2 linked regions of the Drosophila melanogaster genome follow. The protein of the gene in region 1 purifies or fractionates together with the protein of each later gene. This does not show direct contact. Each region holds a gene or a part of one and is shown in the gene's direction. Other genes may lie near its edges.

What was found.
Region 2: the proteins of mgr (region 1) and betaTub56D purify together in Drosophila melanogaster (affinity purification with western blotting; one study listed by BioGRID). This does not show direct contact.

What each region holds. Positions count from the first base shown.
Region 1 is NT_033777.3:11,408,102-11,411,878, reverse strand, and holds mgr (merry-go-round), read left to right. Parts: upstream 1-2,003; 5' UTR 2,004-2,110; coding exon 2,111-2,197; intron 2,198-2,274; coding exon 2,275-2,669; intron 2,670-2,730; coding exon 2,731-2,833; 3' UTR 2,834-3,087; downstream 3,088-3,777. Other genes in the region: Irbp (inverted repeat-binding protein), read right to left, coding at 1-823, 1,069-1,741; mRpL40 (mitochondrial ribosomal protein L40), read right to left, coding at 3,175-3,493, 3,553-3,777. UniProt on the Drosophila melanogaster protein: Binds specifically to cytosolic chaperonin (c-CPN) and transfers target proteins to it. Binds to nascent polypeptide chain and promotes folding in an environment in which there are many competing pathways for nonnative proteins.
Region 2 is NT_033778.4:19,446,749-19,451,835, reverse strand, and holds betaTub56D (beta-Tubulin at 56D), read left to right. Parts: upstream 1-2,236; 5' UTR 2,237-2,425; coding exon 2,426-2,509; intron 2,510-3,089; coding exon 3,090-4,376; 3' UTR 4,377-4,517; downstream 4,518-5,087. UniProt on the Drosophila melanogaster protein: Tubulin is the major constituent of microtubules, a cylinder consisting of laterally associated linear protofilaments composed of alpha- and beta-tubulin heterodimers.

The sequences.
Region 1 (3,777 bases):
TCGTTGATGAGATTCGGCTGATAGTCAACGCGCAGCTTCTTGATGATCTTTTGGAAAAACTCGACTTTCTGTTCGTCAGCAGTGTTTTCCGTATTGTTCCAGTCCTGCAAGTCTAGGTGGCGGATGTGCTTGGCCTCCGGCAAGTAGACAATCTTGAATCCGTCACCGCAGAGCAGAGAGCGATAGTTCTTATCTTCCCCATTATCTGGGGCCTCTACTGGCACAAGTGCCACATAGCGAGGTATCGACTTGCGCTTGCACATGAACAGGCAAATGGCAATCTTGTCGCGCACCAAGCATCGTTCCCACAATGCGCGGAACAAGCGCTTCGATCCGATGATGCTCTGATCATCGGGGTACATGAAATTCGCTGGCTTGATGTAGCTAACTTCGGGAAGAGAGGATCGATGCTTGAAGCCCAGCAGCATCATTTGCGGCTTGTGCAGATTGCGCACCCTGTTCAACTGATCCATGCTGATGCGCAGATCCCTTTCGCCCACGTTGCAAGTGTACCAACCGCCCGTCACCTTAATCTGATACTCGTGCTCGATATCCTGCGAGCCATCGTCCTTTTGTTTTTGCACCGTAATCACTCGCTTAGTACGCACCACACTGTTGTCCCTGCGCAGGATTTGCACTTTGCGCGGATAGGCGCGTCGCTGAAAGTAATTGTAGTACTGTACGGACATGGATAGGTTGGGGCCCAGATAAAAACTGAAGTGGCCCAGGCATCGGCGAAGGAAATCCTGCTTCAACTTACGATCGGACAGGATTTCGCGCAGCATCTGGGCATCTGGCACCTGGAAGGCGTCCAGTTCGATAGCTGCAAAAAAGGTCCTCATTAAACATCATCTAGTGTACGGATTGCTATATATTTATTTTATTATTCTTGTAAGCCAATCCAAAACCACGAACCAATTGAGCTTCACTTGGATGCGGGTGAATGATTGCTTATATTTGATCTACGAAGTCTTAAAACCTTTCAGGCGAAAATTGAACGCCAAACAGGGGAACAGACTTCGCACATTAAAACCCATAAGAAATGAATAGCAGACTTAAAGGACTTACCTCTTGACAACGTGATGAACTCCTTGTAAAACGGCTCGTAGTCAAAGTCATCGACCATGGGAATGACATGAAACTCGAACTCCTTGCCCTCCAGATCGCTGGCCTTTTGCAGGGCAGCCTGGAAGTGATTGCTGTTCGATGGATGAGGTTCCCTGACGTCCGTGACATAGGCGATCTTGGCGTTGTTTAGCTTCTTGCCGCACTTTTCCAGCATCTCGATGCAGAGCCGGATCATAAGGTCAAACCTGCCGCGACCATCGGGTTCCGCCAGGCCATACACATCGGCGAACTGCGTCTCCACCCCGCCCATGAATTCCAGATAGTGCTCCACAATGGGTTTGGTTAGTTGGCGAAGGGGCAAGAACACTGCGCAGTTATCCGGCATTACGATGTTGTCCAATGCACTGGCTTCCAGCGGCGGCGGACTGTGCTTGGTGTTGGCGAAGATGAGTCCGATGAGGTCCTTGTCGTTAACCAGAAGTCCGGATATAAAGGCCGTCCGGATGATGTTCAGTGCCTCCAACAGGCGCTCCACGCCGGCTGTCTGAAGATTGGCGTCTACCACGAACAGAATGGCCTCGCGCCCATGGTAGTCCCGCTTCATGGACACATCCTCCTCGTCCTCGGACCCAGACAGCAGGTCCACATCGTTCTCCGGATTCCAGGTGCTCATTATGCGGCTTCTTTAGATTGCTAAAAATCTGACTTTCCGCTAATTTCACAAGAAGGCGGGCGCGCTTATCGTCGCTGTTGTTATCGATTGAGCTAGGGATGAGAGTCACGAAGAGAATTGATATATATTTAAATTTATTTAGACATTATTTAATGTTTTTAACATATTATATTATCCCAACGTTTATTTATATAATTATTTTAATATAAGTTAGTTTTACATTTTTATACGAAGTTGACCACCACCTTTCGATGACAGCCATTCAATCGATTGTTCCATCGCAATTTTGACTCATCGACTTTTACAGCGGCAGGCTGACCTCCTGAAAATTAAATTGCATTTGTAGACGGCACGGCTGAAGGCAACAGGATGACAGGAATAATGGACTCGGTGGAAATGCCCAAATTACCGGAAAACCAGAAGACCTTCGCCGGCATCCCGGAGGCAGTGTTCCTGGTGAGTGGTCCTAACCTACAAGCGTGCACCTGCAGCTGGACACTGCAGGCTAATTCGTGGTTCTTGGGCCCTTGCAGGAGGAGATCGACACCTTCATGTCGCAGCCGGAGAACGAAAATTGCGAAAAGGTGCTGCAGCGACTGGACGAGCAGCACGGCAAGTATCGATTCATGGCCTGCAATCTGGAGGCGCGGCGGCGCAAGTTGAAGTCTCAAATTCCGGACCTGGAGCGCTCCCTGGAAATGGTCAATGTGCTTCGCAAGGAGGACGAGGAGCGCGAGACGCAATTCCTGCTCAGCGACCAGGTGTTCATCAAGACACTGGTGCCGCCCACGAAAACAGTATACCTCTGGCTGGGGGCCAGCGTGATGCTGGAGTATCCGCTAGACGAGGCGGAGGCTCTGCTGAACCAGAACATCACATCGGCCGTGGGCAACCTAAAGTCCGTGGAGCACGATCAGGATTTTCTGAGGTCAGTTCGAGTGCTGTTATTCAAGTTACTTGTTTTATTGTATTATAAATGTATATTTTAGGGATCAAATCACAACTACGGAGGTGAACATGGCGCGGGTCTACAACTGGGGCGTGAAAAAGCGGCAGGCCGCTACCAAGACCACCGCCACTACCCCATCCTAAGGAGACCCACCCAAATCCCATCCCAAGATCAACATCGGTAGCAGCCACTCGCATCTTATTTATTTCGACAGTACACCGCAAGGGCTCGGCAGGCGATTCCACCTGGCTTATTCTTGTTCTCCACTGATAGCAATAAAACCGCCACACAAACGCATCAAGCTGACTCCAAACGAGATGCCTATTCCGGAGGAATGTAATATTTTAATTTGGCTACGGGCATTTAACTGCATGTAAACCGAATAAACGGCGAACGCAATTCATTGAGAGTAAAGCCGAATTCACAAATCATAGGATTAGGGTTCAGTTTATTTCAAATCTTTAACATCCGGAACTTACACGCCTCATTTGACCTCCCACTTCATGGATTGGTGCAGGTAGTCGCCATCGGGACTGACGTAATCCTTAATGGGGGGCGTGGCAACGGGTCCTTTGACGGCGACGGGCAGCAGCTGGGGATCGATATCGATGGCCGCCTGGTAGAGCTCCTCGGACTCGCGCCGAAGTTCCGCCAGCGCCTTGTTTTGCGCCTGGACCAGCCGGTCGATGATCTGAAAGTCTGCTACGCGCTCGTCGTGCTTGTAGTGCGCCCACTGCTTCTTGAGGAGAGCACGTTCCTCCAACTGGTCGATGGTCAGTGGAGCTAGCTTCCGCTGCCGTTTGCTGAACGATAGGATAGCATTACATCTCAGCATATGAGGGAAACCCGTATGAGAACCTACTCCTTTTCGTCGATGAGCTCCAGTGGAACCTCCAGTTCATCCACGGGCTTCAGCTGACGGGCATTCTTCTCCAGCCGGCGAATCTGCTTTTCGATCTTCTTCTTCTTGCGATCCTCGCGCTGCTTGACAATCTGCGGATCCAGTTTCTTCTTTTTCTTCAGGGGCTCCGCACAAAGAACTGGTGTCGTGTGGAGGCAACGTGCAAAGGCGGCACCGGCGACGCCG
Region 2 (5,087 bases), on another chromosome or scaffold:
TGAGTTTAATGTGATAAAATGGACAAAAATGTATTCCCTTTTAATACATTTTTCAACATAGCTACTATCTTTCGATTAAACTTTGTATTTATTTCATTGACATTAATTAAAACTTAATGTTATGTCAGGCAAGTGGGATGTTTTAGCACACTAAAACGGGATTTGCGTTTTATTCGTTTTCATGTAGTATGGCCACACTGCGGCCATCGTATAAAAGCCCGCGCTCTCCAAAGCGAATGCACTAATTTTTCCAAGTGTGTGAAGCGGACAGTTTGTGTTGTGTTCGACTGCTATAAGCGAAAGATAATTTTAAGTTAAAAGTTCAAAAGCCTAAAACAAATACAAAATGAGGGAAATCGTTCACATCCAAGCTGGTCAGTGCGGCAACCAAATCGGCGCCAAGGTAAGTTTTCCCATTTGCATTTTCCATTCATTTTCCATCCAGAGTACAGTTGCCAAAATGGCGTCATTTTTGCACGACTTCGCTGTCCATGTGGCAAAAATTTGTATTGAGGCCGGCATTTTCACACTCACACATTTGCATTTATGTATACCAAGTTGTGTGCGTGTGTGTGTCGAGTGGTCTTTTTGAGTCCCGGCATCTGTGTTTGTATATACCGCATATTTGTCCGATTTCGCAAAGATGCTTGAAAATTGTTGTTCTACTCTGGCATTTGGGGTCCAAAATTTAGAACGAAAGTTTGTTACGCCCGAATTTCCGATCGATATAATGCTTTAGGGCCATTGACATTCGCATATGTACTTCGTGCCCATATGTATGTACATATGTAAGTAATTATAGTTGGGTGTGTCTGCAATTACACCGACGCTGGTGGCTGTGTGTATGCCTGTGTGCGTGTTGCATGCATGAGTCATTTTCTCTTGGGCGAAAGACTTTCATAGTTTTTCACCGGTTGTGAAAGCCATTTCACTGCCCAGATGGTGAAGGGTACTTTTCTATCGTCAAAACACGATAGCTTTTCTACACGCACATAAGAGCTTGCTGCTCATTTGTATGTGTGAGCGTCGGCCGGTTTTTTCATTTAATTTTTTTTTTTTTGCCGCTATGCGTCTTCTAAAGAGAAAACATGACGTCATTTTAACCTAAAATGGCTGAACCGGTCGTCGTTGAACGGTTCGCAGAACGTATAAGAGTTGATCTTATACGTAGATGGGATATAAGTATGTAGATATATGTGTTCGTAGGCTGCATTAGCTGTTCTATTGATTTTCATGCATTCCACACTCTGCTCCCTACTTAAAATTGCGCTACTTCGGCGGCTTCTCTATCTTATCATGGAATGAAACAATTTTCTATTTTTTATTCATGACTATAGTATAGACAGATTTCGGTTCTCTTTCGGCCATTATGTGCCAAAATGAAACTTTACTTTTAGCAGTAGGAATTGGGAGTCTGCAAGGTGAGATGATGACCTTATATAGAGGAATTTGCCATCTGTTTGTCTCTATCCCAGTTTCCTCTCGCACACAAAAAGCAACGAAACCGAGAAGGGCGGTGCTGCACATGCGTGTGGGATAACGGGGCACAGGACACGAAGGTGATGTTGATGATGACGAATCTTTCTAGTCCTTGCCCGAAAAATCAATACCCACATGCTGGGCATGGGCCCATGAGCCGAAAACAACCCTCGGAAACGCCTTAAAACCCGAGCAGCTGCAACATCAGAATTGTTGTGCCCAAGTATGGCTCTCAATATCTCTCTCTCTCGCTTTCGACCCGACCGGCTTACAAATGTGTATTTCTATATTTATATATACACTTTATATACATAGAATCCGGTATGACGGTGTCATTTCGCTAAACGAGTGTCAACCACGCATTTCCTCCAATACCAGTGTAGCGACTTATTTCGGTTAATTGTTTTTATTTGTTTACGCGACATAAACAACGACCATCGCAAAAAGTTCAGGTGACGTAATGCCCTGAAAAACAGACGATTTATGCGCCAGATGGTCGGTAGTTGGAGCACTGAGCTGCAGTTTTAACCTCTCAGCAAACAGACAACGCCAACGCCTCTCTCCAACTGGTACCCACTGCTCCTCCCACTCCTCCTCCGTTTCCCTCTTGCAGAGACGAGAGTGGGTCGCGAGACCCGAACAACCGGTGATGTAAGCCGCATCGGAAGCAGGGGGGCTTTTTGGGGTGGCAGAGCCCGGCTCTGAGGTCGCCGGCATTGCGTGGGGGCAGCACGTAGACATATAGACAGACAGACAGATAGTAGTTATACAGCTCAGTTCCAGCCCACGCCCGAAGATTCGAGTAAGATCGGTCGGCGGAACGCAATGACAGCTGCGCCTCGAGATCCGAAACGAAAACCCACGCCAGATGACGTTATCGTTGGTGTGGCGATGGTGCTGCTGGTCGTGGTGGTGGAAACGCACCAAAAATGGCAGCGAATAAGTTATGTTAATCGGAGCTCGGCCCATACACAGAGTTTATGATGGCGTACATGGGTGGCCTAAACCACGTAGCCGAGCCCAGACATGTGTATGTACATCGGCTGCTTCTTGTGCCCATTTATTCCAATCAATAAAGAGTTATATATAGACTGACTTTCCATAACCCATCACACATTTTGTTCGAGAAGGTTTCTGTATCGAAGTTATCTGTATAAGTTAAGAGAAAAACAAGAAAATAAGATTGCCTTTCACATGCATCAACTTTCACTGGGTATGGAAGAAAAATTTTAAGCAAATTACTTGCAGAATTGGAAATGAGTTTCAGTGATTAGTAAAAGTTTTCTTCAACTGCAGTACTCTTGTGCAAATAAAAGTTACCGTTGCTTAAGCATAAACTTCTTTTGTGATTTATGTGAAGCAGTCAAATAAATACTAGCTGTATATATGTATGCAGCAGATGGTCTAGGCTTTGAGTAATTTTACTACCATTGATTTTCTGTGATGACTCATTGGCCAAGTCATTCATACATTTTCTTAAGACTGAGTTAGAAAACACCCCCTAGTAATCGATTTTCCTGCTGACTCATGTTCACAAGAAATGCTGTACAGCACCTGCAAGTCCTAATCGCACTAATCCCAAATTCTTTACTTCCATTTCTCATTTGCAGTTCTGGGAGATCATCTCCGATGAGCATGGCATCGATGCCACCGGCGCCTACCACGGTGACAGCGACCTGCAGCTGGAGCGCATCAATGTGTACTACAATGAGGCGTCCGGTGGCAAGTACGTGCCCCGCGCTGTCCTTGTCGATCTGGAGCCCGGCACCATGGACTCTGTGCGATCGGGACCTTTCGGCCAGATCTTCAGGCCCGACAACTTTGTGTTCGGCCAGTCGGGTGCCGGCAACAACTGGGCCAAGGGTCATTACACAGAGGGTGCTGAGCTGGTGGACTCAGTGCTCGATGTTGTCCGCAAGGAGGCCGAATCCTGCGACTGCCTGCAAGGCTTCCAACTCACACACTCCCTTGGCGGCGGCACTGGCTCCGGTATGGGAACCCTGCTGATTTCCAAGATCCGCGAGGAGTACCCCGACAGGATCATGAACACATACTCGGTTGTGCCGTCGCCCAAGGTGTCGGACACCGTTGTGGAGCCCTACAACGCCACCCTGTCGGTGCACCAGCTGGTCGAGAACACGGACGAGACCTACTGCATCGACAACGAGGCTCTCTACGATATCTGCTTCCGCACCCTCAAGCTGACGACACCCACATACGGTGACCTGAACCATCTTGTCTCCCTGACCATGTCCGGCGTAACCACCTGCCTCCGATTCCCCGGCCAACTGAACGCTGATCTCCGCAAGCTGGCCGTCAACATGGTGCCCTTCCCACGTCTTCACTTCTTCATGCCCGGCTTCGCTCCCCTGACCTCCCGAGGATCCCAGCAGTACCGCGCCCTCACCGTGCCCGAGCTGACCCAGCAGATGTTCGATGCCAAGAACATGATGGCCGCCTGCGACCCACGCCACGGACGCTACCTTACCGTCGCCGCCATCTTCCGTGGACGCATGTCCATGAAGGAGGTCGACGAGCAGATGCTGAACATCCAGAACAAGAACAGCTCCTACTTCGTCGAATGGATCCCCAACAACGTGAAGACCGCCGTGTGCGACATCCCGCCCCGTGGTCTGAAGATGTCCGCCACCTTCATCGGCAACTCCACTGCCATCCAGGAGCTGTTCAAGCGCATCTCCGAGCAGTTCACCGCTATGTTCAGGCGCAAGGCTTTCTTGCATTGGTACACCGGCGAGGGCATGGACGAGATGGAGTTCACCGAGGCCGAGAGCAACATGAACGATCTGGTGTCCGAGTACCAGCAGTACCAGGAGGCCACCGCCGACGAGGACGCCGAGTTCGAGGAGGAGCAGGAGGCTGAGGTCGACGAGAACTAAATTCGAATCGGAAATCAATCGAATTCTCGATCAATGTTTTGCGAAAAAAAATGAAACGAGAACAAATGAATTCAGTTGTAAAAGATTTGTTCTCTTAACAACGTAATCAATAAAGTCGGATCCAATTTTGTTCACAAGTCTAAACAATTATGGTTTTTGTTGGGGTTTCTTATAATTAATAAGAGAGATATCAATCATTTTACGAGGATTATGAGACTGCGTTTTGTAGTCCAAGAAAGCTGATTAATGTTTAGAGTGTTGGTATAAATGTTAATAGGCTCATTAATGTAGGTTTTGACAAAAGCGAGGTATTTGTACATTTTCTCATTGTATTATTTGGATTCACAAATTTATGTTTATTTAATCGGGTTTCTCCCAGCTAAAAACAATAGAAATCTTTTCACCGGCTGTGTTTGTTTTGGACATGGTTATGTTGTGATGATTGATAATTTCATTCACATTAGTTTATTTATAGACCTTTTTTATTTATTGACAATGATTTGCCCTACCTACCTCAACTTTCGAGCAAATGCTGCATAAACAAAAGTAATTCGCCCTTGAAGAGGACATGACATGATATTTTCAGCGTAGGAAGTGGGCCTACGTACCATTGTGGTTCAGACGGCCTTGTATGCAATAAATCTAATTAATATATATATATATATATATTATGGTAGTCTTAACGCTACGGTTTCCCACACGCGATTTTCA